4 linked regions of the Arabidopsis thaliana genome follow. The protein of the gene in region 3 interacts with the protein of the main gene of each other region in a pairwise test. Each region holds a gene or a part of one and is shown on either strand. Other genes may lie near its edges. The genes, in order: ELIP2, AT3G28220, ABCG16 and AT1G62330.

Region 1 (6,167 bases), on a different chromosome or scaffold from region 3:
TTCAAAACAGATCTACTGGGGCTTTAAATAAGGGTAAGGCCTTGTTCCGAACTGGGCTTTAGTAAGATATTATAACATTTCTGTTCCAAATACAGTACATCAAAACTTGAATCTAACTTATATCAACTTCAATAATCATCAATTCATCAGTTAAAAAAACTCCTTCTTTCATGGTTTAGTTTATCAAAGATATGCATTTGATTTATAAGAAAACCCAAAGAGTATTTGTTACCTAGTCGTCCCCGGGTTTCACGGGGTTACAATAAGAGAAACAAAATGGGCCACATAATATTTATTTATTTAGTGATTCTGTCGTTTAAAAAAAAATTAGTTTAACACATTGTCAAAGTTTGAACTAAGGAACTTGTAACTCAAATACTGAAACTTTAACCATTAGACTACATTTTTATGCAAATTCGGCCAAAACTAAATAATAATATGATTAGCGGCCGCAAGCTTATGTTTTGCTTGCTTGGCCTTGTGGCCGGCTAAATAACCTAAGTATATAATCAATAAATTACATAAACGACCGGATAAATCAGAACTTAATTATAATGTTAAAAGTAATTAAATGAATGATGACCCTCGTCGTCTCTCCTCTTAAAACACAATAATCTCATAAATACAATTTTTATATGAAGTCTTCACAAACTACTATAAATTTCCCAAAGTTGTTCTCTCTCTTTGTCCACTCGAAGACTCATGGGGATAAGAAGGCACTCGTGTTATGGGCTTCGGGGCTTTTTATTGTTCGCCCTTTCGAGGACCTTCTCACATGTTTGGACTTTTGAGTCTAAATGCCTTATTTCCTCACGAATGACGTGAACATTTTTTCGTCCTGAACTCAAAAGTATCAATTACACACTTCACACTACTAATGGTCAAGTTTTTTCGTATTTGAAACTACAAATGTAAGTAATATATGCGATAAATTTATTATCCTCTGCTAGTAAAATCCATTAAAAAAAACTACCAATGTGGGTGTATGTTTTCTTTCAGTATATATAAAGAGTTTTCGCAGAGAGCACATATCGATGGTGGTACATCAAATCTGATCATTCATATCTAAATAATTGTTGTTGAGTTTTCTATATGTGTGGAACGTTAGATTGCTTAAGCTAGAAATTGACACAAGAGTTTGATCACCGAGTTCCTGCCTCCTGGCCTCTAACCGGTACGTCTCGGGTGGGAACTGTCTCCCACAACTTTTCACTATCAAGCAAAAAGTATTACAAGCACTAATAGAGGTTTCTCTTCTCCTTGTTACAAATTTAGAAATTAACTCACACACAAAAGACAATAGAAAAGGAGACTATACCGACACGAAGACTATGCCCATATCTTCACAATTGTGCTATTATTTACCGTTCTAATCTGGAAAAAAAAACAGCGCACGTAGGAGAATTGGGCACGAAGACATGAATGGGACACATAAAGGATCAAAAGAGTCATCATGGGTCTGCCATGATGAAAGTTAAGAAAGTTCCAATACGCGCGAAACAAGATTGAATGCGACTTCTCTCTATACCAAAAACGAATCTCCCAAGTCCCAAGTGAATATTGTGAGCCACTAACTTGTTATTAACATTTTGAGACAAAAAAAAAATTTGTACGTGTTTTTGCCAAACCCACTTGGCCATGACCAATCAGAAAAAGACAAGGAAGATGTGTATCTATGTGTAATGAGGAGGCCACGCCATCAGTTTACTTGCACTTTTCCAACTAGACGTGGCCTCTCACCGATCTCAACCTCACTTTCCTCTCATTTCTCAAATTTTATTGGCTACGTGTTTTTGTGTTTAGCGTTCAACCCAAATATCGATATATTCTTCTTTTTTTTTCACATTTTTAACGATTTCGAGCAAAATAATTCGATTTATTTGTATAATTTTAATATGGTAGTTTTACAAATAATGAAACGAATGACCAACTGATTTGTTAGGTGTTACAATAAATATGGAAAAAATCTCATAAGTTTGAAAACATTTATTCTGAGGAAACTTTTTCTTCCCCAAAAGAAAAAAAAAGTTTAAAGTGGAAAAAAGAAAAAAAAGGAATAAAAAGTTTGAATTCAGTTTTTTTCTTTTCTTTGATAGATTTCTTTCTACTTATTTATTACTCTACTACACACCACACAAAAACAAAAATAAAATAAGTAATCATAGTATCCCATAAATCAGTAAAGATAAATAAAATCCAGAAAATACTGGGCCTATCATTTTCCTTCACCAACTCTATAAATGAAGAGATAATCCTACAGTTACACCTCAAACCAACTCCATCTCACTTCTCAAGTCTTATAATTTATTCATTTCTCTCTTCTTCATCGATCTTCGGCTTTTAGAAAACCTAATCAGAAATGGCAACGGCGTCGTTTAACATGCAGTCAGTGTTCGCTGCTCCTTCCGGTGTATTGACTACACGCAACATCAGAAACACAAACCAACTCTTCTTCAAGAGGATTGCTCCGGTAGGAGTCAGATGCATGGCTCAGGTATATATACACTAACCTCATAGTCCTTCCACTTCCCTACGTTACTTATTTGACTTTTAATCCTGACCGTTCCTTACATTGACTATTTTTTTAGGGCGATCCTATCAAGGAAGATCCTTCTGTGCCCTCGACCTCGACTTCGGCCACTCCACCACAAATGCCACAGTCTCCTCCTCCACCAGTTAGCAAGCCTAAGGTATGATCTAATGATCAAAGTCATTAATATATATCACTAGCTAAAAAAATGAAGCTAATGAATAATTTTCTTATTGTCTAGGTGAGTACGAAGTTTGGAGATTTGCTAGCGTTTAGCGGTCCAGCACCCGAGAGGATCAACGGGAGACTAGCAATGGTTGGATTCGTGGCGGCCATCGCCATGGAGTTATCAAAGGGAGAAAACGTGTTTGCTCAGATCTCTGACGGTGGTGTCGGGTGGTTTCTAGGAACAACAGCGTTGTTGACGTTGGCATCGATGGTTCCGTTGTTCAAGGGAATAAGGGCAGAGGCAAAGTCAAAAGGGTTCATGACTTCAGACGCCGAGCTATGGAACGGTCGGTTTGCGATGCTCGGTCTCGTTGCGTTGGCCTTCACCGAGTACGTCACTGGTGGGACTCTAGTCTAAAGCTAAAGCTTTTTGTTTGCTAGTTTAAGGACAAATTTGGAGAATGATTATGTAACGCATAGATTGATTTAATACTATGAGTTTTAAACAGTGTGTCAACATGAATCAAAATTTAAAACCATGAAAAAAACATTATAAAAATTTATTTGAAAAAGTACTTCAAAAGTTTTCTTATAAGATAATGTGAATGGAGAAGAAGAAGTAAAAAATAAATTTTAGCTTCTATCCAAGGTTTGAGAGTTTATGCATTCTTTTGAAATGAATCAAGAGCCAAGAATAATTAATTATGCTCTTCCTTGTTATTATCGACCAATAGAGTCATCATGTGTCTGCCATAATGAAAGTAAAGCAAGTTCCAAGACGAAACGAAATTGAATGCGATTTCTCTCTAACAAATCACCTCATCTCAATTCTCAAGCCCATGGGTTAGTCTCATCAAAGCCCAATCAAAGCGTCAATGCTTCCCAAGAACAAAAAAAAATATATTAAGATGAACAAACAAAAAAACACTTAAAAGAGGAAAGATCTGGCCACTACAACACTACACGATAGTACGATCGATGAATATAATCGGAAAGATTTGAGTGGCTCAATTACATATTGCTTATACGACGTCGTTTTGAGTAGCATCATTTCGTTAATATTTATGTAGGAGACTGAAACAAGACAGAGAAAAGAGAATCTCCGAGGAAAACAAAAGTTGATGGCGACGTCTAAGCTTCAAGCTCTCTGGAATCACCCGGCAGGACCAAAGACAAGTGAGTTATCACATTGTTTCATCAATAATATATTACTCTTTCTTCTTCCGTTTCAATTAAGACTCTATTGAAACGTTACTATTGGAAAATGTTGAATTGTTTATAGTACAGTTCTTGACAAAAAAAAATCTATATCACTTTAAATCCTCTAATGAATAATATATTCTAATTGTAAACAGTTTCTCTCTTTTTTTGTTGTTGTTGTTGTTGGGTATTAATCAGTTCATTTCTGGGCTCCAACATTTAAGTGGGGTATAAGCATTGCTAACATTGCAGATTTCCAGAAACCTCCAGAAAATATTTCGTACCTTCAGCAAATTGGTAAATAACTACTACTCTTCAGAAATCTCTAATCTTTCTTGTTACAATTATTGTTATAAACATATTATCCATAATTATTGTATTAGCTGTGACATGCACTGGAATGATTTGGTGTCGTTGCAGCACTATAATTACTCCTGTAAGTTTTGTTTGCTTTTCGAGTTTTACTTTTGTGATTGGATTCTTGGTTTTGGTTTATCGATCTGATTCTTTGGACTTTTGTTTTTTTTTAACAGAAAAACTGGAACCTGTTTAGTGTTAATGTTGCTATGGCAGCTACAGGGATATACCAACTTACTCGCAAAATAAAGTGAGAATCAAACCCACTTTTTTGTTTTGCTTGTGTTTTAACATAGATAACAAATTCATCAGCTTACTATATAAAACATTTCTTTTGCTAAGTTAAACGCAATCAGAAAGGTTTGGTTTGGCGTTTACAATCAGCAAAGGAAATTTTGCTTAATATGTAATGCAAACAAAGAGTCGAAGCTATTTTAAACTCGATTTTTATGATGATTGTCTATGATAGTATGATTTTATCTTTTGATACATCAATGAAATGCTTATTAACTTTTTTTTTGATATTAGGTATGATTATGTATCTGAAGCAGAGGCTGCTGTTGAAATTGAAGGATGATGATGATGAAAAAGATGAAACATTTGACATGTGAAAATGTTCGTTCATTAGTACTGTCTTGTTAATGGACCTCTAGTAGCATATGCCAATGTTTGGATTTTTGTTAGATAGTGAATGGTACGTTACATGCTTGCTAAAGATTTTTATATTATTTGGGACAAGATTGATAGTTGAGTTTATGTAAGATTAATCAGTAATTAGATCAAAATAATAACTCTATATCTCTTAAAAATATGTTACCTCTTTATCAATGACTAGATGAGTACCCGCACTACGTGCGGGTTTACGTATTATTTACAAATTATTTTATATAATGTTTGTTCATATAAAGTAAAATTGAATGCATAGGTTTTGAAACATAAATATGATTTGTAATTGTTTTTGAAAAGCCCAACTATATTAGTTCATCTGAAAAACGAATGTGATTGAATTGTTTTTATTGTTGTTTTAGATTCTCAGTTTTTTTTTTGAATTTATATATCCTTGCTTTTTCAGTTATATGTATAGATTGTGAGACGGTGAAATTTTAGAAAATTTATTTCTTACACTAAAAATATAACATGTCTTTATTAATCATATCTCTGCATATTCAATCTAAGCATATTCAACTTGATGTTCTTGGAAAGTTTAGTTAAGTTCTTGTCATAATCTTATATCTTACGTATTAGTTATAAGGATAGCTCCTCAAATATCTTTCAAATTACTTGTTTTCTTAGCATAGATCTCGAAAAGCTTAGATATATTTAATCTGCATATTCATTTAGTTTCTTTCATAATAATCGTCTAATTTTTAGGCTAGGAATATGTGTAACATGTTTGGATTTTATCATCACTTTAGCCACTTAAGTGGATCTCAAAATTAAAGAGGATATATTGAATTAAAAAAATGTAAAAAGAGTGATGTTTCAAGTTCTCATTAATTATATTCTCATATTTTAGTTGTTATGTTGAATTAATTACTAATTATGTATTACTTATTTTATGAAGTATAGGTGGCAAGCTCTCATGTGCTGATGTGTCAAGTTGTGGGAGAGAGTTAGTCTTCTTTCATATATATGATTCAATGTATATTAAAATCTCAAAGAAACTAAATATTTCAGTCATTAGTCAATAGTAAAATTATAATCTTCAAATCAAATTCAATGAATATTTTTCTCTTTGTTTCTGTTTTAAATACAAACCAACATTTTTTTTTTTTTAACACTAATACAAACTAACATTATTTCTTCAAAAGAATCTCTTACCCAAATTCATTTCCAAATTTAATGTCTTTCTATAAATAGTTTCACAATTTTTTTATTCTTCGTGCAAACATTTCCCGCCAAATTTCTCAGT
Region 2 (7,880 bases), 9.9 Mb from region 3:
GAAAAGGTTACTGTCGAGGCTTACACTGATGTAGGATTGATTTTGGTTAGTTTGAAACAGACCTACTATGTTGCTAATCCAATTTCACGACAATGTGACCTCCTCTTCCTCGTCTGCCTCGAAGAGCTGATATATACAAACCTTCTGGACTTGCAACACGAATAGAAAACGGCGTCGTTTTAGGTTACAAAGTTGTTCTGATGAAAGATACCACCGATACCGACGACATTAGCTTACTCATATATTCATCTGAGACAGGCCTATGGAGTTTCAACACTGTCCAATCTCCTTATCTTTTGAAGCGTGTTGCTTGGTTCAATCCTGTTAGCTTGAATGGAAACCTTTACTGGCTTTGCTACAACAACTATCGTGATCACCTTGTTGTATCCCACAATTTATATGCTACTGGTACGGAATCTGATCAATGCAGAGTTATAGAGTTCCCTCATCTAGAAAACGATGTGTATTTTAGAAGAGCTTTCACAACATCCCAAGGATCTCTTATGTATATGAAAATTATCAATGAAGAAAAAGATGATGGAAGTTTAGGGCTTAAGTTATGTGTATGGAGGTTAAAGAGTGGGAAATGGGAAATAGTATCTGAAATATCTCCGGCTTGTATCAAGAGTGGTTTAGATTACTTTCCGTTGGCAATAAACCCTTTTGATGCTAATAAAATGTATTTGTGGAGTGAGATGCATAAATGTTTAGTATCTACTAGCTTGCTCAAAGGCAAGTTTCGGCGTCACAAGAAGTTGGAATATAGTAGCGATGGTCGCATTATGAGCTTTGCTGGAGACTGGAGCCCGTTTGAACACCTCTTTAACCCATGTTTCTCCAGGTTTGCTCTCCCGCATTGGCTGCATCGGATCCCTTCCTCGCCTCCAACCGACAAGCTTCGAATGCGAATAAGATTACGGAAAAGGGCAACTTAACAAAGTAAGCAGTAATTACTCAAACTGTTATGTTTCTGATATTATTTACCTTTCTTCTCTATACATGTTTAGAATCGTTTTGGCTGAGGATTTGTAGCTTAACTTTTATGTAAATCTTGTCGTAGGGCTTAACATCAGCGGCTTATATTTTTTATTTTTATTTTGTCTACAATTTTTTTATGAGATTTTGATAACACTAGAGATTGTAGGAAGAGCAAAACTTTTTTATTAACCTAAACTTCTTTAGGATAGTTAAGGAATCTTGAATTGTCTATTTGGACGTAAAGTTAAAACCATCCAGAGTTGGAGCTCCCTTCTTTAGTTTCCTTTAGGATAATCAATAAGTGTTCTGTTTCCAAATGAATGGTTTTAGAATCAATGTGTCTTTGTGACTTGTGATGCAAGCAAAGAGCCAAAAACTGTGTGGATAGGGTTGGATTTTCCTCTTTGATTTGCTACGTACGTTTTGTCATCTCCCTTCCAAGCCTTCATCAACTAGTAGAGAGTATTTTCTTTGCTTCTTATTTATTTCCTAAAAGGAACGAGTTGTATTAGATATTGGTAATTTTGATTTGCTTATTGATGATTGTTAAAAATACAATGAAAGAAGAGTATGGATTGGTTACATAGCTTAATTTACATAGAGTATACATGGCAGATATATTATACATTATGAATTGCTTGGTAGATCTATATGTATTATATACACTACATAACCAGAGAAATAATAGAGTAACAAACAGATGAAAGAGAGCAAATAACAAAGAAGCACTCGTGAAACTTAAGAACATGATCGATGTTTATTGTTGGTGCGCAAAGCTTGTTATTATTTCAAATTACTATCATACGCGCAAACTTATTCGGTTGATTTTAGAAGTGTTATTCCACGGTTAGTGTTAGTCTTAGTCGCAGCTAGAATGAAGTAAGAACAAGAGTTTTTCAATGGTAAATTAAGACTGCTTTTATTCTTAGTTTTCATTTATTTAAATAGGAAACAAGTACAAGAAAAGCTAGCTTGGAATCAACGATTTCTACAAACTAGGGAATTGGGAAAAGTGGGAGATAGGCTCCTAAACCTTAGGAAGACCAATCCTCCAATTATTAGCACAAAAACACTTAAAAAACAGAACACAATTGGTTCCAAGCTCTCTGGTTTTGCATTATGCAAAACTTAACTTGGAAAGTATTTTGTGTTAGAGAAATCTTCAAATTCAATCTCCATCTTCAATGTATCATTCACAAGAAGACCTTTAGAAGTATCCTTAAGATCAGCAAATGGTACAAACTTCTGGAATCCCCAACTGTTTGCTTGATCCGACCAGCTTTCAACTGTCATTAAGTTAGTGTTAATTAAACTCTAAAAGAAAAAAATTAATAGAGTAAGTAACATTAGCCACACTATTATGGTTCGATATAATTTACCTTTCTTCTCCATGTGTTTAGAATCTCTCTGGTTTATAATCCGTAGCTTAGCTTTTAGGTAAATCTTGTCATACGGCTTAACATCAACCGCAACAACATATAACGACAACGAGTTACCCTGTCCTTCGCCATCGCCACTTGGATACACTTTCAAAGCCCTAAGAGTTGTATATTAAAATATTGTAAATAGTTAATTTTTTCTTGAATCAGTATTAGTAAGCCTGCGCAAATAAACCTAATCGAATGTACCGAACTAAAATCGAAACAAAATAACAGAATCGAACGGAATCAAAAATTAAAAAATAATCAAATGGATACTAAATTCTATATATAACCGAAAGAACCGAAAGAACCGAAACTAAATGGCTACGTACCAAAATATCCCGGATAACCAAAATATCTGAAATATAAATATATTTCCAAAAATATTAGTTATTTTTAAACTAAATAATTAAAAATATTAGTTATTTTTAAACTAAATAATTAAAAATATATATAAAATAGTTAAAATATTCAAAAATAATCAAAAATATCCAAAAATAACCGAAATATCCAAAAATAATTAAAATATCCGAAAATATTCAAATCAAAATAACGGAATGGATACTAAATTTAAAACCGAAAGAACCAAACCGAAATTTCAAAATAACCAAATAGATAATAACTTTAGAACCGAAAAAACCGATAACGGAATGGATAACCGAACATCCAGGACTAAGTATCAATATGTGGCTTAAAGAATTTATGACATGAGGAACTCACCAGCTTCTCCCACCGATCACGAACTTGTCAGAGACATAGTACTGTTTCTCTAGTGACGAGAAATTGGGTAACGTCCATTTGTAAAGGCGGTCATGCAAACTCTTAGTGAATGAGAACACTTCCCATTTGTTAAAAACTTCAGTGACAAATACGTCCACACCGAATAAAACATTGTCACCGTCGAAAAGCCAACCAGCATTGGGATTAGCCACGTCGGTGTAGGGTCTAACATTACCATATCCCCAATATGGTTTGAACAGAAAAAAGCGTTTTGCATCCGTCTCTGTGTACCAAGACATGCGTTTGAGATTGTGTGTTTTTAAATGCAAATTTTGGCATTTGAAACTATGCAAACTATCAGCGTCTCAATTGTTTTAAATTTAAACGTTGAAAATTTGATTAATACAATATAGTTTATAAATAAGATATAAATAGGGCGTTCGGATGTATATACCTTGATATGTTAAGTACTTGTCCTCTTTCCGGTTATAAATGAAGAATTTGACTTCTGCGTAAACTTCTTTTGGAGAGTTAAGGAGTGTTGAATTGTCTATTTGGACGTACATTGAAACGTAATTAAGTGGAGCTCCTTCCTTAATGTTTCCTTTAGGATAGACAATAAGTGTCCTGTTTGCAAAAGGATATATAGTCTTACAATCAAATGTGTCGTTGAAAATTTGTGATGCAAAGACATATGCAAAATGTAGGATAAAATACTACTTACCAGTTGTATCCACCGGATTCAAAAGGACGGGATTCGTACTTCTCGGCGTTTGGAGAAGTGGCGAATTTTATGAAAGATTCGATTTTGAGACAATAGGTAGATGGTGGGATAACTCTCCATATTTCTCTCCTATCAGATAGCTTATGGGAGGACATTGGGCTATCGATAACGGCAATGGATGATGTTGTTGTTGTTGAAGGTTGTGTTGTTACGATTTTCATGAATTGGAATGCAAAGAAACAAGAAATGAAGCAAGCCAAGCCAATTGCTCCATAGTTTGTCTTTCTCTTCTCCTCTTGAAACATGTGGTCTTCTTTTTTTATCAACCCCTTTTCAGACATGTTTGGTTAAGTGACTGAATTGGTAAGTGTGACGGTTATAATTTATAAGCAAATGACTGGAATATGTAATGGAGTTAGTTAGATATATTTATCTACACACCAAAAAGGTGAGTTAGTTATATATGTATGATGAGTACCAACATTTATTTGGTATTTAGCTTTTTTTGTTTGGTATAAAGAGTTCTTCACCACAAATATTTATAGCGGAGGATCTTTTGTGCGTTCGATAAAAGTGATAATGTTATTATGAACAAGTTATATATTCACGTGTCTTGAGATTTCACGTCGGTATAAGATGGATTGCGACCAGATAAGATTTCTTGAGTTATCGACCAGAAAAGATTTGTTCAACACGTGTTTTCAAGAAAAAGACAAAAGTTTAAGTTGTACCTAAATTTAGCATGTAACGTCAAACACTCCAGACATAGCTTTAGCTAACAACAAGAAATGGACCCAAACGCTCTACACCACAACATAGTTTTGTTCTTCTGTTCCGATCCTAGCCTCTGTTTTTGGATTTAGCTTTAGCTTTAGCTATAATGTAGAACTTCAGTAATCAATACAAAGACTAAAAACTATATTTTATTATATACGTATCAAAACTATCGATTAAATGCTTAATAATTAATTTTTAAAAAATGTTTTTATTTGTAGAAAATATTTTTTATTAATTTATAGTATAATATATAATAATATTTGAGTTTTTATTTTATAAATATCTAGAATTTATAATAAATAAATTATTAGGAATGACCTTCCAATGCTACTCATTTTTAATTCTACCCTTTCATGTAATTCATTTTCATTACTCTCTTTTAATTTTTAATAACCATATATCCTTATTTTTTTAATGTTTAAAGTTAACAAAATAAAATTGTGTTTTTCCTACCAACAATATTTCGACGATAATTTTTTCGCCAAAAATAGTTTTTTTTGTTTGTACAGACGGTAATGTTTTTACATATGATGGAGGCCAGATTCACACACTTGTGTGCATGCAAGAAAATTTTTTTAATAACATGATGGAGTCGGTGGGATTGTCTTTGTTTGGGCAAAGGATACGGTATAAGCTTCCTTTTGAGAAGTTTATAGAGCTGAACCGTTGTATACTAGAGATGATATTTTCGAGAGAATGTGTCTAGCTGCAAAGTGGACAAAAGCGGTTGTTATATTTACGGAGAAGGAATAGATTCTTGAAGAATGTAATGATGAAAAGAGCTTGTGAAAACGTCAATGGTGAGAATGCTCGAGTTTGTGATGATGGAAATGATGTTAGAGGAGGTGATGATGAGAATGACATTTTTAATGTTGGAATCCAAGCTAAAAGTCGGCCACAAAACAACTTGGTGAAGGTCTGATACGTTCATGAGAAGTTGGCACGTGTGAGAACTGAAGTGAGAGATCGGAGTCACGTGTGAAGAAACTTATAAATAGTAAGAGTCTAAGAGAGAGTAGAGAGAAAAGCATCCTTCGTGATCATATTGATGTTGTGAGTAGAATTAGGGCTTATGCATGTGCTCTGTTCTTAGGAGATAAGATTGGAGAACTGTAACTTCAAGCTTATCGATTAGGGTTTTGATTCTTTGTAATTGGATTGATAGATAAGAAATACAAAGGATTACACTTTCATTCTTATCAAGGTCCGAATCAAGTATCACAAATTTCACTTAGTGATTAATTGTGTAAAAGCTTTTGGTTTGGGAAACTTATGATGTTCAGGATGATGGTTTTAATTTGGATTATCGGATTTATGTGTAACATGATGGGATGATGGTTTTGACTATGATCTCGGCTTCAAGATATAGATTATGGTTTTTGGCTATTTGTCTTGAATTTTTAATTTGTAGGATAATGGTTTTTGTCTTGTAATTGCCTCGGGTTTGGTATGTTATATACAACATTATTATGTTATTTATTCATTACTTTTGTGGAGAAAAGAGTGATAGAGATTGCTTGGTAAGAAAATAAACAGACACAGAAATTGGTAACCGAGTTCACGGCCTCAACCGCTACGTCTCGGGGTCTCGGGGGAGATCTCTTGCTCCCAAGCTTCACTAACTTGTGATGATGTCTTTTGGTTTTACAGATTTGCACTCAAGAAGAACAAAGATTCAAGAACAACAAAGAGGAAGAAGAAAGCTTGTTTAGGAAGCTCTTTTATCTCTCTTCTCTAGAACTCTTTTTAGATTCTTTTCTCACCTACCTCCACTATACGTCGTACGTTGTAATGCATATATAGGTGACTTAAATGAGCAACAAACTTTTGCCCACATTTTGTTCTTCTTCACCTTGCCAATTTCGTTGGCCCATTAAGGCCCAATGTTTGTGTTATGTAAAACCCAAACAACAACTTTCAATTGAAACTCAAACTCAATCCAATAAAATACAATCAGAACTCTTAACTCAACAAACTCATACTAACTTTTCATACTTAAAAGATGAAAACATAGACTACAAACCATAACTAAACTACACCCGATAAAATTTTTGAAGTAACGTCGAGATTGAATCTCTTTCTTACTACAAAAGTTCATGGCTTTGAGCTCTCCAATCTCCTTCTCACATCCTTTTAAAAATGCTTTGATGACTTCAATCTCATTTCCATAGCTACTTGATATGGTCACACATGTGCGTGTCTCACCTGCTAGACTCTCCATCTCAGCTCCCACATCATATAAACCTTTCTCTAAGGATCACACATCTACTTGTGTCTTGTAAACAACACTCTCAACCTCTTCCATCTCTTCAACCATAGCTATATCGGTCCATTTGAAACAAATGTCGATTAGCGTACAGCAAAATTGAGTATTATGTTAATGATATTAATCACATATTCTCTTTTGTTCACAAATCGATTTCAGCATTACCTCATTTAAGCCATACGAACAACAATTCAATCTTTGGGTTCTTCAATGTATATGCAATCTAGATTACAGACACTGCACCACATTTACATTTTCTAAGTAGTCTTCTTACTGAGTATTGGAACCGACCCAAAAAATTGGACCCAAAACCGAATCTAAAAATTTAGAAGAAACTTCCCAATGAAGTTAATATTAATAAAAACATTCTTCTTCCTTCTCTTACGAAATATTACTCATGAAAATATTAATCTTCTTTCTTGCAAACAATGGAAAATACATGAGAACATAAAGAAGGAATTGGTTGATGCAAACTATTGTTACAAGAGAAGAAACTAAAACGATCTAACTGATGGTGAAGATTTTGATGAAACAGAGCTCCCTCTTCCACACCCTTTCTGGTTTCTTAAACTCAAAGCTTCCATAAACCTCTCGTTCCACCTCGAGCTTGTTCCCGCGGTATTAATGATCTTCTTGTTACAGACATGATCTGTCGGAAACCGGTGTTTCAAACAGAACTTGACTCCACAATATTTGCAAGTAAGGTTATTCGCAAAAGTCAGAATCTCTTTGCAACGTTTTACAGGACACGTTGGTTTCTTTTTCTTGTTTGGATCACAATCTCCGGATCTTTCGTGTTTCTCAAGCAAAGATTTGATTCCTTTTTCATCAAAACCAGTTGTTTCAATCGCTATTGAACATGTTTCACAGATGGAAACCGTTCTGCTCCCATGATCGGATTTCGGACAGTTATGTGACTTGTATGATCTATGCTCCAAACAAAACACCTTCACACACAAAACTTCTCAATCAAGAAACATTCAGTTGTAGAAAA
Region 3 (7,722 bases):
GACCCATCGAGACTTCTGATTCAAAAGCAATCAGAGACTAAGTCAAAACCAAAACACTCACATGAAATGGGAGACTTATTTTAAGTCAATTACTCAAATGTTGATGCCCTAGCTTACTTGACCCATTTTCTTCTCTCTTATTAGAACAGCAGCAAGCATTCCGATATTCCCAACTTCATTGCTCAATAAAACTCTAATATCCGAGGGGAGCTCATCTGGAGTTATTTGCTGAAATTTTAAGTTAGAACAACACTAATGGCATAAAAAGAATTTCCAATACTTCTTAAGACACATGATAACAGAAAAGCTCGTTTCAGTAGACAACAATATACCGCATTAAAAGGGACTTTCAACATGCAGTCACCAGCATAGATAACTTTGGAGGCGAACAGTGACCTGCTCAGAAGTTGATATAGTTATTAACATGGTTAGTGTATTTGACATTAAAGATAAAGCATCACACCAGGAGACAGCCTCTGGTAGGAAATGAAATTGGTTATTCTCACAATCACTCATTAAACAATCGCATAAAGATGGAAAACAATCAGATTACTAAACAAGACAAAATAACATGATTCAAAGTTGTACAATGTTTCAACTATTGATGACAAGACAGAACCATATTAAAGAACATCAAGACAAGTCATATAAAAATTAAGCTGCCACAGAAGGTATCAACAAAGAATCTGATCATTACATTGAAAGGGAACTATGAATAGAATTATTGAATAGAGAAAATGTGTCTAACAATCCATATTTTAATTGCCGGTAAACAGAAAACCGAGGTACTCGAAAAACGGATTTTGAAAAATACTTGCAAAGTTGCATCTTATTCAAAACATCATCAAGCCCACCTGCCATAGGTGGATTTCCCAATCGAAAGAGTATTAGTTATCTTTGCTCCAGCAATTCGCTCTAACCAGGGTAAGAAGTTATTGTCCAACGAAGCCTAGATATAAAATGGATAAGATGATCGTAAATCCTCTTTTGTGAGAGACATAAAAGTTCTGTACAACATCTTCTTACATCAATTAGCTCCCAAAATCAACAGTCTGTTTGGTTAACTATAGATAGAAGAAGCTAAAAGAACATAAAGGTTTCATCTTTGGTATCAATTGCTATCAGTAGAGGAGAAACATACATAACTTAGAAAAATTCTTGGAACCACACTCAGGTATGATAAAACTTTTCTAACACTTGAGATAATCAAGCTGTGAACAGTCCATCACATTGATTTCACAAATTTCACGAAAGTCTCAATCTTTCACAAATCAAACCTGAGTTTGGAGCTCTAACGTTAGTTTCCCGGCGAGACTGAAACGCTTGGCTAAAGAGCTAACATTGCGCCTTTGTTGAAACCCGAAAAGCTTCACTGTCGAAATGCAGAATAGCATCTCCAGCCAAACTGGATGGCGCGTGAGCAACCACCGCTCGTATTATGGACTCGTGTTTCGACTGCGGCTAGAGCAGAGCGGCCAGGACCAGACGATATTCTGATGCTGATTCGGTCCGGTTTGTTTCGGTTTTAAATTTCAGATAAATCGGTTTGTTTTTAATTGATTTTGTAGATAGCCTTCCAATTTTGACTTTTTGATACCTTACAAAGTGAAATGGCTTTGAGAGTTACTTGCCTCTAGCAACAGTGTCTGTGTCTCCTCATTTTTCTTCCACAATCTCAATGCCTCTATTTGAAATGTTGCATTAATTTTCTGAGTAAAAGCGATTCATAGGTGCTTTTTGTATTTCCAATTTCCTAAAGAATGATATTTTTTTTATTGATGGCAAAAGTAATACAAATGTTAAAAAGAATACAATTCAAATACACAATCAATCTACGAATTACAAGTAATGAAAAAGAATTACAATATATGTTTTTGGTTTTAGGTATCATCAGTAGTTTCAGTTTCACCTCCTCTTGTTTTTGCTCCCAAGCAACAAACACAAGTAAAACAAAATCCTAAATAGGAATCCGAAACCTACCGTGATAAGCAAGCAGTTCCATTTACTAAGCTGTGTCACTCCTTGCTGCTTCAGAACATCAGCACCCGTCGTTAAACACGTAGAGCTCGATATCCTCATACCTATCGACCGGCTCACAGAATCCAAAAGCCTCAGCTTCATCCCATACGTCAATTCTCCCAAAGGCGAGTTGTCGAAAAGCTGAACACCTCTCACAAAACATTCTGTAGGATCCGAGAACTCGTTCTGAAGAACCGCCTCGTATGGATACTTAACCAGAGAAAGATAATGAAACCAAATCCAATACTGAGGGATTCGATCTCTGTTGATGAAGAAGCCACTGAAAAGCAAGAAGTAAGCTAAAATAGCAACAACGATCGTGTAGCCTAACATCACATGTGGAACGACGCCGGATAAGAAAGTCACGAAGGAGCTTCCGGACCAGAAAGAGGCTAAGATGATTAAGCAGTAGAATAAAAAGCCCATTAGGCCTCCTTCAAGCCCAACAGCCCAAAACGTCGTCACTGCGAAAGCTAAAGAGAGGAAGATGAGCGAAGGGAAGGTAACAATGGCGTGAGAGAGAACGTAGGAGGATCTCCGGTAAGCGTTGTAAGCTGTTTCTCTCATGAAGATGTAACGTTCCTGGAGGAACACGGGAAGAGCATCGGCGCAAGTGTAGAACATTGTTGACATTGCGAATGCGAAGAACCCTAACCGCTCTTGAACTCCTTTTGGTGAATTATCCAATCGCCAGAATACGGTGGCTAAGATGAATCCGGTGACGATTACGGTGGCTAATCGCATTCCGAGTAGCTCCGGTTGTCGTCGGGAGTTGAGGATTGAGCGTCTGGTGAGAGTTTTGATTTCGATCCAGAACGGATTCGCGAATGCAGGGACGGCTAAGGTTCCGCCACCGTGGTTTATGACGGAGGAACCACCGCCGCCACCGGAGACTAGTTTTCCTCTGCTTATGCTGGCGGAAATCGCTTCTTTCAAGGTTAAATTTGGGTTTGGAGAAGCCGGCGGAGTTAGGGTTTGAGGATTGCTCTGTTTCTTCATCTCTTGCCATTTCTTGTTGAATTCAACTAATCCTCTTGTTCCTCCAGCTGATCCTTCGAGTTCTCTGATTAGATCGAGTGCAAACTCCGTTTGATTCTCGTTTTCCGGTATCGGATTACCGAACCCGGCGAAAAAGCTCGGTAGACTCGCCGGAGAACCACTAAAGACGGTGTGTCCACGTGACAAGAAGATAAGACGATCAAGTAAACTGAGAACTCTGTGACTTGGCTGATGTATTGACATTATAATGATACTGCCACTCTCTGCGATTCTCTTCAATACTTTAACCACCATGAAAGCACTTGTGGAATCTAAACCAGAAGTAGGTTCGTCGAGGAAGAGAACAATCGGGTCGTGGATGATATCGATTCCGATCGAAACTCGCCTTCTTTCTCCACCGGAGATTCCACGGTGTCCTTCGTCTCCAATGATTGTTTTAGCAGCGTTTCTTATCCCTAACTGGTCGATTAGGGCTTGAACTCGAAGCTTCTTCTTGGATTTAGGTAAGCTTCTTGGTAATCGAAACTCAGCTGCAAACATTAAGGTTTCTTCCACAGTAAGCATCGGGAAGAGAAGATCGTCTTGCATTACATAAGCTGAGATAACTTTCAGCATCCGAGATTGAAGAGCTTCTCCGTTAAGCGTTACCGTGCCCTTCAAGCTTCCTTTAGCGATCCGATTCGCTAAAGCGTCGATCAAAGTGGATTTACCTGACCCGCTAGCTCCAAGAACGGCAAGAATCTCTCCGTCACGAGTCTCACCGGAGATATTGTCTAGAAGAGTCTTGGTCTTGGAGAAAGATGTCCTCCTCCATGGAACCAGGTCGTGAAAGTCAAGTTTCCGGCGAACAGAGACGTTGTAAGTAAGGTTGTTGAAAGATAGAACGAAAGGAACAGGACGCATAAGATGATCATTATCTCCGTCAAGTGAAGAACCATCCCTGTCAAAGAATTCATGAACAGGAGTTTCGTCACCAACTTCAACCTTACGAACGTCGCTAACGTTCTTGAGAAGTTGGCCTAAAGTCAAAGATGAGCTAATAATCTCCATGGAATGAAACGGTGTTGCATTATCATCTTCTACTAGTATGCGAGACATTTAGAACAAAAGATGGTAAAGTGAGAAATGATGTGCTTACACTTGAAAATCAAAACACTCTTTGCATGATCAAAATGTTAGTCTTTGTTCTCTGTTTTGCTAGTATCTGTGTATAGGCCTTATATATATGAAGTAACGTGTGGAAGCGTGTGAACACGAAGGTTCTATGTGTTGAATGAGTTGCATCATCATGAGAAATCTGTTAGGTTTGTGTTGTTAACAATAATATTCTTAGCGTTTGGATGGAAAATGCGTTTTGGATTTCTCGTATTCAATTAGGGAGAGGTAATGGGATGACCAATAAATCTAGATTTTCCAAGGTGATAATACTAAAATACGTAGAAATGGCTGACACGTGGCGATTAGAATGGAGAATTAGGTGAAGGGTGTTGATCTAACCGAGGTATAGATAGTATATAGGATTGAGATGAGATATTTCTTGCGTTTCACATAGTGTTTGGTCAATTAATTAATGTTTTTAAAAGATTCTTCGAATGTTGGTAGCGATATAGTGATTGTTTGTATCGCAAGCAAATGTGTACCTAGATAAACTATTCACATTTTCTTTTGTTTTCGCGACCGAAGACGATTGCTTATGCTGCTAACTGCCTAAAAGTTGCAAATTGCAATAATTCCGGAACCCCAACTAATTCTACCAAATATAATATAAAAGTTATATTTGATAAAGTAGCTAGATTTGTATTTAGTTTGGGAATATAAACTCCTGTTTTTGCTATGAAAGACTACACACAATCTCCAAGTTCATTTTTTCTATTTCTTGATTATTTAGTTGGTAACGGTGGAACATTCTTTACCAAACTCAAATATTGTGTTTGGTCTTTGTTTCCTCTGTTTTATTCACAGTATACAGAAGCTGATAAAACATTCTTTTTGTTTTGTAAAGGGTGGAGTGGTGGTTTAAGAGAAATATAATAAAAATCGTCAAGTTTGTTGCTAAAATTAAACATGCATGCGAAAATTACACGAGAATCATAAAGATGGTGTCACATTTCAAATACTATTTGTTAAGAAAGTAAAAATAGTGATGTCTTTGATCCATCCAGGGAAAGAAGAAACAGATCAAAAGGTTAGGCAACTTCCTCTTAAGTAGTACTTGGTCAAACTTCTAGTGATGGACACAATGGTAACATGAAAGCAAAATTGACGTACTGGCTTAGCTTCTTGGATTTCCAATCCTAAACTTTGACTTCACTGTTACATCTTTTTGGTTGACATTTTGAAGTTTAGGTGACTAACTTCTACCTACTGTAGTCTTCCTTACCGCCATAAGAAAAGGGTCAAAGATTTATAATACCATCTAATAAAGCTTATAAGAAAGTTGGCTACTTTGAATTCTATTTTCGACCAACTGTTTAGTTGTATATACTTTTGTTTTTAAAAAGTGATGCAATTTGAATTTTGTCAAATACGTTATGTTTACACCGACCACGAAAGATGGCATATAGCTCACACGCACATTAAAACTACTAAATTACTTCACTGGTAGCTTGTGGTATCTTTATATTAGTTTGAACTTTAAACTATTGATGTAGTTCATATTGTTAAGTTAAAAACATTACCAATTGTGAATTAAACTAAAATCTTAGTCCTTTATAAAATTGTGAACCTAACATCATGTAAAATGTTAGATGTACGATTCTTTCTTTAGACAATATATGATAGCTATGAAAGAAAAAAATAATAATTATACAACATATATCATCAATATCTCAAATTCAAAAAGACAATTTTGCTTTCACAATAAAATTTCTGTTTCGGAAAAATTTACATTATGGCGTTCACGCCCTCTTATTCTTGCTTCCAAGCAACAACGAAAAATAAAACAAGATCCTAAAGAAGAATCCCCAAGCTAACGTTACCCACAAGCAACCCCATTTATCCAGCTGCTCAATTCCATGCTGCTTAAGCAAATCAGAGCCCGTCGTCAAACACGTTGATTCCGTTAACTCCATCCCCAAGTAACCGCTCATTGTCTCCAGAAGCTTAGCCTTTGTCGTTTCAGATACTCCTTCCATTATTGTATTATCAAACACTTGGTTTCCTCTCACGAAACAACGGGAGGGATCATCGAATTCGTTGTGCAGAACAGCTTCGTAGGGATACTTTAGCAGAGAAATGTAATGAATCCATATCCAATAAAGATGGATTCGATCACGGTTGACGTAGAATCCGCTGAAGAGGAGGCAGTATGAGAGATAGCCAAAGGTGACCATGTAACTCATCATCACGTTTGGAATCACACCGGAGACAAATGTAACAAACGAGCATCCTGACCAGAAGGACGCGAAGATGATCATAAGATAGTAGATAAAACCTGCCAGACCACCGTTTAGACCAACGAACCAGAACGTGGTCGCTGCAAAGCCTATGGAAAGTGCGAAGAGATGAGGCAGAGTTACTAAAGAGTGAGATATAACGTAGGAAGATCTTCGGTAAGCGTTATGCGCGGTTTCTCTTAAGAAAATGTATCTTTCTTGGATAAAAGCGGGTAAGCCATCCGCGCAACTGTAAAACATTGTGGCCATTGCAAAGGAGAAGAAGCTTAACCTTTCTTGGACGCCTCTAGGAGAGTCATCTACTTTCCAGTAAACCGTAGCCAAGAGAAAACCGGTCATCATGACTATGAAAACTCGTGTTCCGATAAGCTCGGGCGTTCGGGTCCAGTTTATCATGTAGCGTTTAGCTAAGATTACGGTTTCGACCCACCATGGATTTACGTATGAAGGAATAGATCTATATGAAGTAGAGACAAGTTTGCCTCTTGAAATGCTTGCATTGATGGCTTCTCCCAAAGATGATGAGTTATGGTGAGGTTCTTGACTAACTCTTAGCTTCCTATGTTGCCAATTTCGATTGAATTCGACTAAACCTCTTGTTCCTTCGGGAGATCCTTCAAGATCTTTGATTAGGTCAAGTGTGAATTCCGCAATGTTCTCTTTTTCCGGTATGGGACTACCAAATTCCGAGAAGAACAAAGGGAGAGTAGCAGGAGAATCACTAAACACAATCTGGCCAGAAGATAAGACGATTACACGATCAAGAAACTCCATAATCCGACCACTAGGCTGATGGATTGACATAATTACGATGCTGCCGCTACGTGCAATCTTTTTCAAGACTTGCACCACCATGAAGGCACTAGTTGAGTCTAGTCCTGAGGTTGGTTCGTCGAGGAACAAGACTATAGGATCGTGAATAATATCGGTCCCAATTGATACACGCCTTCTTTCTCCCCCGGAGACACCACGATGGCCTTCATCTCCGATCACAGTGTTTTTAACAGTTGTGAGCCCTAATTGATCTATTAGGGTTTCTACTCTGTTTCTTTTCTTTGATTTGCTTAAGCTTCGCGGAAGCCTAAATTCGGCAGCGAACATTAGAGTTTCTTCGACTGTGAGCATAGGGAAAAGGAGATCTTCTTGCATTACATAAGCTGATATGACTCTCAACAAACGAGATTGCAAAGCTTCTCCGTTTAGAGTTACCGTGCCTTTCAAGCTACCTTCGGCTATTTGTCCTGCTAATGCATCAATAAGCGTTGATTTTCCAGCTCCGCTTGCACCAAGAATGGCTAGGATCTCTCCT
Region 4 (8,451 bases), on a different chromosome or scaffold from region 3:
TTGATTTGCATCGAAATTATATTTCAAACGTTTCCTCACATTTTGAGACTTTCTCATGTTAGATTATTTTGAGATACTACGAAGAGAAAACCTTTAGAGACACGAGAGGAGTGGCGACACAATTTGGGGCACGTGCTAGAATAGGCGAAGGCCGAAACTCGGTCTTCGCCGGAAAAGCACCGGTGGTGAGCAGATTTTCTTCGAGAGGGCCAGCTTTTATTGATGCAACTCGGAGTCCTTTAGATGTACTTAAGCCAGATATTCTTGCACCTGGTCACCAAATTTGGGGTGCTTGGAGCCTCCCTAGTGCCTTTGATCCTATTTTGACAGGTTCTAACTTTACATCCCTCATTTTTTGTTATCTTATGAAATTTACTCCCATAAGTTTAAAATTGATCATTTTGTGAGTAGGACGAAGCTTTGCCATATTGTCGGGAACAAGCATGGCGACTCCTCATATAGCAGGGATTGGTGCGCTCATAAAACAACTTAATCCTTCTTGGACTCCAGCCATGATTGCATCTGCCATCTCCACCACGGCTAACGAATACGATAGTAATGGTGAAATTATATCAGCGGAGTATTATGAGCTAAGTAGATTATTTCCATCTAATCATTTTGATCATGGTGCGGGCCATGTTAATCCTGCTAGAGCCCTAGATCCTGGACTAGTTTTACCCGCTGGTAAGTTTTTTACATATCATGGAAAGGAATTGATAAATTATACAAAGTTTGTGCTATTAATGTAGTAAAACAAAATCTTATAGGTAACTTTATAATATCATTTTTGGGGTATTGGACCAGGTTTTGAAGACTACATAAGTTTCTTGTGCTCACTGCCAAACATTAGCCCAGCCACTATCCGAGACGCGACAGGAGTCTTGTGTACCACTACGCTTAGCCACCCAGCGAACCTTAACCATCCGTCAGTAACTATATCTGCACTTAAAGAGTCACTTGTGGTGAGAAGAAGTTTCCAAGACGTCTCCAACAAGACTGAGACATATCTTGGTTCGGTTTTACCTCCCAATGGTACAACTGTACGGTTAACCCCAACTTGGTTTACCGTACCACCACAGAAAACTCAAGACCTAGACATCGAATTCAATGTCACACAAGTCTTAAACAAGTTTACATTTGGTGAAGTTGTTCTTACTGGAAGCTTAAACCATATTATAAGAATACCGTTGTCAGTTAAAACCATTTGAAAACATAAAATTTTATTGTTACTTGTCGATCTCACTTAAAATAAGGTCTTTATTCTTAAAAATTTCCAACGAAAAGGTTATTGACACTCCATCAAATAGGAACGGAGATAAGTTTTTTCATAAAATGAATGTATGGAATAAGGAAGAGTTATTTTTTTTATTTGTTCAGCGGCTCTCACATAAAACGTAAACAACAAACTAGTTATTATATTCTAAATTTTACATTACAAATACAAAATCAAATAAAGTGCAAGCGTGCTCCGTTTCAACCTACCACCCTGCGAAGGTTGAGATACATTCTAATTACACATATGAAGGATGATTACACAGATGAGCCTAATACACATGAAAGTGTTACACATATGAAATCTTTAAAGATCTAAGATGTTTCGACAATATATATTTCGAATTATATACTTAAATAGACCAAAACATTCATGACGACTAATATGGTGGTCTAGGAGGGCGTGGCCCAAGAAGTCCTGGAAACCAAGTAGCTCCGGGAAGTGGAGGTGGTGGATCAGGTCTGGGAGGAGGTGGAGGTGGTGGCTGAGGTCCTGGAGGAGGTGGAGGAGGGCGAGGCTCCGGAGGCGGTGGTCTTGGTGGCGGTGGATGGTGGAAAGGAGGAGGATGACGATGAGGAGGAGGATAAGGCATTTTGTGAATTGTTATTGCAATATCTGTCTTGTGTACTAACTTAGTTTATATATAACATCAAGATGAAGAATCATTGTTACCGACAAGTCTTTGAAGTGTAAAACAGTTACTCATTAAATAAGTGCTTAGTAGAATGGTAGTTATCCACCTAATCCTTCAAGCTAACTTTAATTCTTCTGGAAGGATTTCATACTTATGCATGTATAGAGAGATAAATTTCATACTTACCACCGGTTTACCAAACCCAATCTTAGTATTTCCAGCATCAAAATACCCCCAAAACCAAATACTAATAATACCATATTGGTACCAAACTCAAGCTTGGTACTCACTAGAATGTGTAGCCGCTACAAATGCCATGAAAAATATGAAGACCGTTTAAAAAACCGAACCAACAATGTAAACCAAATAATCAATCTTCATTACACATACATTCTTTACATCTTGGATAACGGTAAACGCTGCGTCCCGTCGGTCTAACCAATACATGTTTGGTTTGCCTAACCGTTTTTCTCACTCTCTGCTCGAACACTTTCCACTCTATAGTATTGTTCTTCAACAATATGTCTGAGAATCTCCGTTTGTTCGGTCTGATCGTCGGCATTTTCCCTGCTCCGTAATATATCCGATAACCCGAGACCAGAGACGACAATTGGCTCCCTGAATCCGTCATCGCAAAGGCGTCTGATGCAGCGCATGCAATGAAATCAAGAACCGCTAGCTACATAACCAGAAAGAAAAATATGCAATTCTTCGGTTTAGTTTAGCGGAGAAAGTTAACCGATAAACCGAAAAGGAAGTTTTGACGGGTTTTCTTGTTTTCATTTCACCTGAGATGAGAAGTTCTTGAAAGGCTCTAGCTCAGTTTGTGAGAGTACATTCTCTTTGGTGACTAGATTCGGGTAGAGACTCGTTAAAGCTGCTAACCGTTTATTCCCACCATATATATTCGCACCAGCGACGAAAACACGTGTCTTCCGACTAAAACCCAGACCCGCAAGCATAAGCACGGCTTCTTCAGGTGATAAAGGACAAAGTCCTTCTGTCCTCAGATCGTCTGGAGATGGCATTCTGCATAAGAGAAAACAAAAGGGCATTCAGTGAGATACCAAAACTGAAATAATAATGTGAAAAAGAGTTAAGAGAGGAAAGGAACAAACTTTTGCGTCTTTGTTAGATTTGCCAACGTCGGGAAATGCTTTTCCCGGTAAGCATCAAGCTCTGCCTTTTCCGCATCACCTCCTCCGAAGTAACAGAGAGAATGAGCCACCATATCAATTTCAAACCTGAGATGGACTGCTAGATACTTAGAAGCCTTATGGAGAGGACCTGCTTTCTTGTCCAATATGAATGACGCAAATTTTGGACCGACGAGATACGGGTCAACTGGTGCAAGGTGTGATCCACTATCTCGTAATCTCCTTACGAGTATCGCACCCGTTTCTTGTATCTTCGGAACGAAGTTTAGCGCATGAAAATTACATCTACACCGCAGCCTCTACTCCCCAAGAAAAAGTTGGATCATTACGGGTAATATATCGATATCCACGGTGCTAAAAGAAGGTTCTTTACCTGTAACTCAAACGGTATCGGGTCAAAGGCCAAACGGTTTCCGAATCCTAAGAAATGGACGACTCTGTTTTTGAGTAGAAGAGGAAGAATGTGCTTCATATAAAACCCGGGCTTGGCTTCTTTCATGACATCTATATCCGTAACCTTAAAAAACGACATAAAAGAGAACTACATTAGAAAAAATACGAAGATGAAATCGGTTTTTCACACTAAAAGCGGTGTAAGGAACTTACGACGCTGCCAATAGCCTCAAGATCTAGAGACTGAAGCTCTTTGGGTAGTTTCTTTACAATCCGGATATCAGGAGAAAGATACTTTATAAAGTGTTCCACCTGATAGATATCTCCAAACTGACTATGAAACATATATATACCATTCAAGAGTGTTAAAATTTGACGTTTTCAAGAAAGCATCAATTATAAGAGAAGGAGACAGAGAACGGAGGGACCTTACAATAGTTACCTTGCATCGGTCCAGACATCGCTGAACATAAATTTAGGAATAACGAGTGTCGCATTTAGCATCCGCGCAACAACAACGATGTTACAAACCTGTTTTAATAATGTCCCCGCGAAATCCAACGGTTAGTCAATATAAAGAGTGGGACATGACAAAGTAATGTGTAACGCAATCAAAACTTACAGCAACTCTCTGTTGGTTGATCCCACCATTTGCAGTTACCATTATATATCCATTTTTACCATCTAAACTCCACACACAAAAAAAAACACAAAAATCAGAAAAACTATACCTATATAGTACGAGAAATAAACTCATTGAGAGTAAGAGTAAGAGACCACTAGGCTTCCAGGAACGTTGATCAGCACAAGGCTTCCAAGCCAAAGCTTGGTCCTTTGGTTCTCTCCACAACTCTTTTGGTTCAAGCTTGTTTTGCCCCTAACGAACACAATGTCTCGGTCAGTAGGCTTTTCGGTTTCGGTTTAAGAATTCGAAATGTCGAAAGCGGAAAGGATAATACCTCAGCCAAAGCATGAGCAGCATAAGCCAACAATCTACCATATGTTCCATTATATGTCTTCTTTGGTTTTCCCATCTTTTTCTTCTCTTTATGCTACCAAATCATAAGTCACTCAACATCAAATGAAACTTCCATAACCATTAATCCAAATGCAAAAATCATGTAATATATAACATTACACTACATAAACTTACCATTTACTACAATAATTTCATACTTCACCTAGCAAAATCTCAAACATGTAAACTTTGTCTCCTAACCACAGCATTTTCACATTCTAACTAACAAATCTCAAACAGAGGATTTTATTTTTCTCTAACCAAATCTGTATTTGAAGTAATTGTATATTAGACAAAAAGTTTAAATTTTTACACAATTTAACCATTTGGGGATTTGAAATTGATTTGACAAGAAACAGACTGTTAAAAAGTTAAAGTTCACAGTAAACTGACTGACCAATCACATTATTAAATTTTTAACTAATTTACCTGTACATTCGCCGACACTTTAACGGATACCCGTTTCACACTCGAGTTCGGATCCGGGTTCAGTTTCGGTTTAAGATTCGTTTTTTTCGAGAATCCTCTCCGTAGCCAAGCTCGACCTTCATGGAGCTGAGAGAGCATAAACCAATTAACGAAAATGAAGAAACCAACAAGTACGATTACAAACGCGGCGGTTTTCGCCGTTCTGATTCGTTTCCTTTTTGCTCTCTTAACCGGATTTTTCAAATTCCGGTTTGGATCTCCGTTGATCCAAGACAAAACCGACCCGATACAATTCGACCCGGTGTTAAGAATCTTGTCTCCAGCTACTTCTGAAAAGCGGGTTGGACCGAGACGTGTCGGTGATTGAACCGGTGAAGCTCCTCCTCCTCCATGGATCAGATCTTGGACTCGAAGAACATCGCGAGTCTCTGGTTTCTCTTCGTCTGGTCTCTCAGAAGACATGGCTAAGCTCACACTCTCTCTCAGTTCTGTTCGATCGTGAGAGATAGATTTGCTGAATTTAACGAAGCTAGCGAAGAAAGAGCGAAGTGAGTGTTTTTTGCTCGAATTTCAGTGAGGATTTTTCTTCTTTGTCTGAACGTAATTATTAAAGTTTTTTTTAAACCTTGAGATTGACGCTGGTATTAATTTAAGGTCCCTGTCCTTTAAAATCATTTTAATCTTTACCTATTATTTTATCTAATACGAAATATAACCCTACGTATGTCCGTTGTGGTTTCAAAGTTATAAGAAATTGATCAAGTAGACTGTTCTTAGTAGTTGTTATCATTTCTTAGAATTAATAACATTTTGGTAAGACAGAATTAATAATTTTGTTGAGTATTTAAGATGAATAATAATTTTTCATTTAGCGATGTGTAAAGTTGGATTAGCTCCTACCAACTACGTAAATAATAAAATTGAAAACTAGTTTATTACTACTATCTACAGCTTGTTGAAGCTATATCTATGAAATTTGAATAATTTTTCATTGTGTTTCATAACATAAACAAGTAGCTAAACTAGCTGTCAAAAACAAAAATAGTTGCAAGCATGTGTTTGGTATATTGGGCTTTTTGTGTGGAGGGTTTCAAATACGCTTTCTGCATATCAGAGTAATATGATTTTAATTGGGGCCTAGACATCTGTTTTTGGTGTTATATTAATTAGACAAGAGTTAGAGAACTTATTAATTTCCTTTTGTCAGGCCTTTTTTTTTTGTTAAAGGAAATATAGCACATGCAGACACTTATTAACTTACTTTTTCAAGATAATTAAGTTAAGAATTTAAAATTGTATTTACAACCATTTTAATATATGTATATAGCAATTGATACAAATGTTTACTTTTTCGACATGGTACTAGTACTACACGTCTACAAGGACTAATATAATGAGAGTATTAAAAAACAATTGCAGTTTTGATGTAATCCCAGATAGTCTTAACGCACGTCCTTAGATAAATTTCTGTGACACTGATGAAAGGTGGTTATTAAAAAAAGAAAATGAAGAAAAATGTAGCTAGATTATTCACATTGATTTGGACGTAAGAAAAGTAATTCGTATTGGGAATAAAATAGACAAAAAGGTGATTTATACTGAAGAATATGATTATTAAAAAAAAACAAAAAAAATTATAGACTTCAACGTGATGGCACGGTATTTGCCTATTTTCATTATTTTCTTACTTGAGTAGTATTAGTAACAATTTAATTAAGCTAATTTCATGATTTTTTACTTTAGTCAACTATGAAGTCATTATCTTATTTTAGCAACAAAGTTATTATTTTAGTTATTTTAATCTAACTTTATCTCCAAAATAAGCATGGGTATATCTAAAACAAATAAGATAGATGTGTAATAATAATAAAAAGTTAGAGCTGGTTTAAGTTTAATTTAGGAATAAACCCAATTGGGACATTTTTTTGAAATGAAACTTTTTCAAGGAATAATAATAGTCTCTTGAGTTAGACGGCCGACCAACAACAACTAGATTCAAAGATTTTAAAAAGATCCAACTTTTTCATCATCTTCTTCTTCTTCTATTTCTCCGTGTATTTTCAGCGTTTTGTATCAACAAAAACGGCACGAAGTTTCTTTTCTTCTCTTCCCCATTTTTGTGCTGTTAACAGAACCAATCTCTCTGTTTTTTCCATACTCTGTTTTTTCTTCCCTCTCTCTGTTTCTGTTTTCAGAGGAAGGAGAAGAGAAAACTAAAGAAACTTGTGCAATACTTTTCCTTGAAGAAAATTTAAAGATTATATTCGAAGAAGCTTTTATACAAACCACACAAATCTCCACTTCACCAATATGATTTCTTGATTCATCTCATATTATTTTCTTCTTCAATCTGATCGCAAGAACATTGTGAAAAAAAAGAGTCAACGAAAGGGCCAAATTTTTTTGAGTAATGAGTTTCTAAAGGTGAGATTAGTATAAGCGTCTTTGACTATTATACAAATCTAAAACTTGATCTTTGTGTCTAAACTCTTATGACAATTTTTAGGGCTCTTATATATTTGCAGGTGAAGAAAGAATTTGTGAGGGTTTATTATAAATTAGTTTGAGGAGATGGCGACATTAGCAGATATTGGACTAGCAGCAGCGATTAATATTCTAAGTGCATTGATATTTCTATTGCTATTTGCAATCTTGAGGATTCAACCATTCAATGATAGGGTTTATTTCCCTAAATGGTACTTAAAAGGTGTTAGAAGCAGCCCTGTGAATTCGGGTGCTTTCGTTAGCAAGATTATGAATTTGGACTTTCGATCATACGTTCGGTTTTTAAACTGGATGCCTGATGCTCTTAAGATGCCAGAGCCTGAACTTATTGATCATGCTGGTTTGGATTCTGCTGTTTACTTGAGGATTTACTTGATTGGGTAATCAAAAAATGTTTTGTTCTTGCATACAGTTACTAATTATAGCTTTGTTTTTTTTTTCTAATGGTTTTTTTTTTTGTTTACTATTTTATAGGCTTAAGATCTTTGGTCCGATTGCATTACTTTCATGGTCAATTTTAGTACCTGTAAATTGGACAAGTGATGGATTGCAGCTAGCAAAACTTCGTAATGTAACATCGAGTAATATCGATAAGCTTTCGATTTCGAATGTCGAACGTGGATCAGACAGGTTTGTTAGTGAAAGAAAATTATGTAGTTGCTACTTCTGATTTTTGTTAAAAACTTTATAATGATTAGAATTTTTCTTAATTTGGTAAAAAGGTTTTGGGCACATCTTGTGATGGCTTATGCATTCACATTTTGGACTTGCTATGTACTAATGAAGGAATATGAGAAAATTGCTGCAATGCGGTTATCTTTTCTCCAATCAGAGAAGCGACGTGCTGATCAATTCACTGTAAAGATTATTGTTTTCATTAATATAGAATCTCTCTTTGCTATTTGGTCTGAAGAGATAGTTTCCAATTTTTAGGATATTGTATGCATTTGACAGGTTCTGGTTAGGAACGTACCACCGGACTCAGACGAGTCGATTAGCGAAAACGTGCAGCATTTCTTTCTTGTTAACCACCCAGACCATT

What was found.
Region 1: the proteins of ABCG16 (region 3) and ELIP2 interact in a protein complementation assay, tested with the Arabidopsis thaliana proteins (one large-scale study listed by BioGRID).
Region 2: the proteins of ABCG16 (region 3) and AT3G28220 interact in a protein complementation assay, tested with the Arabidopsis thaliana proteins (one large-scale study listed by BioGRID).
Region 4: the proteins of ABCG16 (region 3) and AT1G62330 interact in a protein complementation assay, tested with the Arabidopsis thaliana proteins (one large-scale study listed by BioGRID).

Annotation. Positions count from the first base shown.
Region 1 is NC_003075.7:8,416,014-8,422,180, forward strand, and holds ELIP2 (Chlorophyll A-B binding family protein), read left to right. Parts: upstream 1-2,228; 5' UTR 2,229-2,359; coding exon 2,360-2,494; intron 2,495-2,588; coding exon 2,589-2,690; intron 2,691-2,771; coding exon 2,772-3,116; 3' UTR 3,117-3,312; downstream 3,313-6,167. Other genes in the region: AT4G14695 (Uncharacterized protein family (UPF0041)), read left to right, coding at 3,820-3,874, 4,097-4,195, 4,282-4,334, 4,432-4,505, 4,784-4,832. UniProt on the Arabidopsis thaliana protein: Probably involved in the integration of pigments into the mature light-harvesting pigment-protein complexes.
Region 2 is NC_003074.8:10,520,724-10,528,603, reverse strand, and holds AT3G28220 (TRAF-like family protein), read right to left. Parts: upstream 4,424-7,880; 5' UTR 4,185-4,423; coding exon 3,844-4,184; intron 3,747-3,843; coding exon 3,574-3,746; intron 3,403-3,573; coding exon 3,120-3,402; intron 2,516-3,119; coding exon 2,358-2,515; intron 2,265-2,357; coding exon 2,107-2,264; 3' UTR 1,871-2,106; downstream 1-1,870. Other genes in the region: AT3G28223 (F-box family protein), read left to right, coding at 1-49, 127-935; AT3G28216 (uncharacterized protein), read left to right, coding at 5,180-5,326; PMZ (zinc finger (AN1-like) family protein), read right to left, coding at 7,381-7,833.
Region 3 is NC_003074.8:20,414,437-20,422,158, forward strand, and holds ABCG16 (ABC-2 type transporter family protein), read right to left. Parts: upstream 4,475-7,722; 5' UTR 4,117-4,474; coding exon 1,906-4,116; 3' UTR 1,747-1,905; downstream 1-1,746. Other genes in the region: AT3G55080 (SET domain-containing protein), read right to left, coding at 1-15, 118-228, 333-396, 855-949, 1,278-1,394; ABCG17 (ABC-2 type transporter family protein), read right to left, coding at 5,916-7,722.
Region 4 is NC_003070.9:23,043,880-23,052,330, reverse strand, and holds AT1G62330 (O-fucosyltransferase family protein), read right to left. Parts: upstream 5,564-8,451; 5' UTR 5,367-5,563; coding exon 4,905-5,366; intron 4,510-4,904; coding exon 4,417-4,509; intron 4,335-4,416; coding exon 4,235-4,334; intron 4,142-4,234; coding exon 4,080-4,141; intron 3,989-4,079; coding exon 3,900-3,988; intron 3,792-3,899; coding exon 3,671-3,791; intron 3,582-3,670; coding exon 3,438-3,581; intron 3,364-3,437; coding exon 3,026-3,363; intron 2,937-3,025; coding exon 2,696-2,936; intron 2,587-2,695; coding exon 2,278-2,586; 3' UTR 1,994-2,277; downstream 1-1,993. Other genes in the region: ALE1 (PA-domain containing subtilase family protein), read left to right, coding at 63-330, 412-684, 805-1,208; AT1G62333 (uncharacterized protein), read right to left, coding at 1,653-1,865; AT1G62320 (ERD (early-responsive to dehydration stress) family protein), read left to right, coding at 7,476-7,789, 7,884-8,039, 8,132-8,267, 8,364-8,451.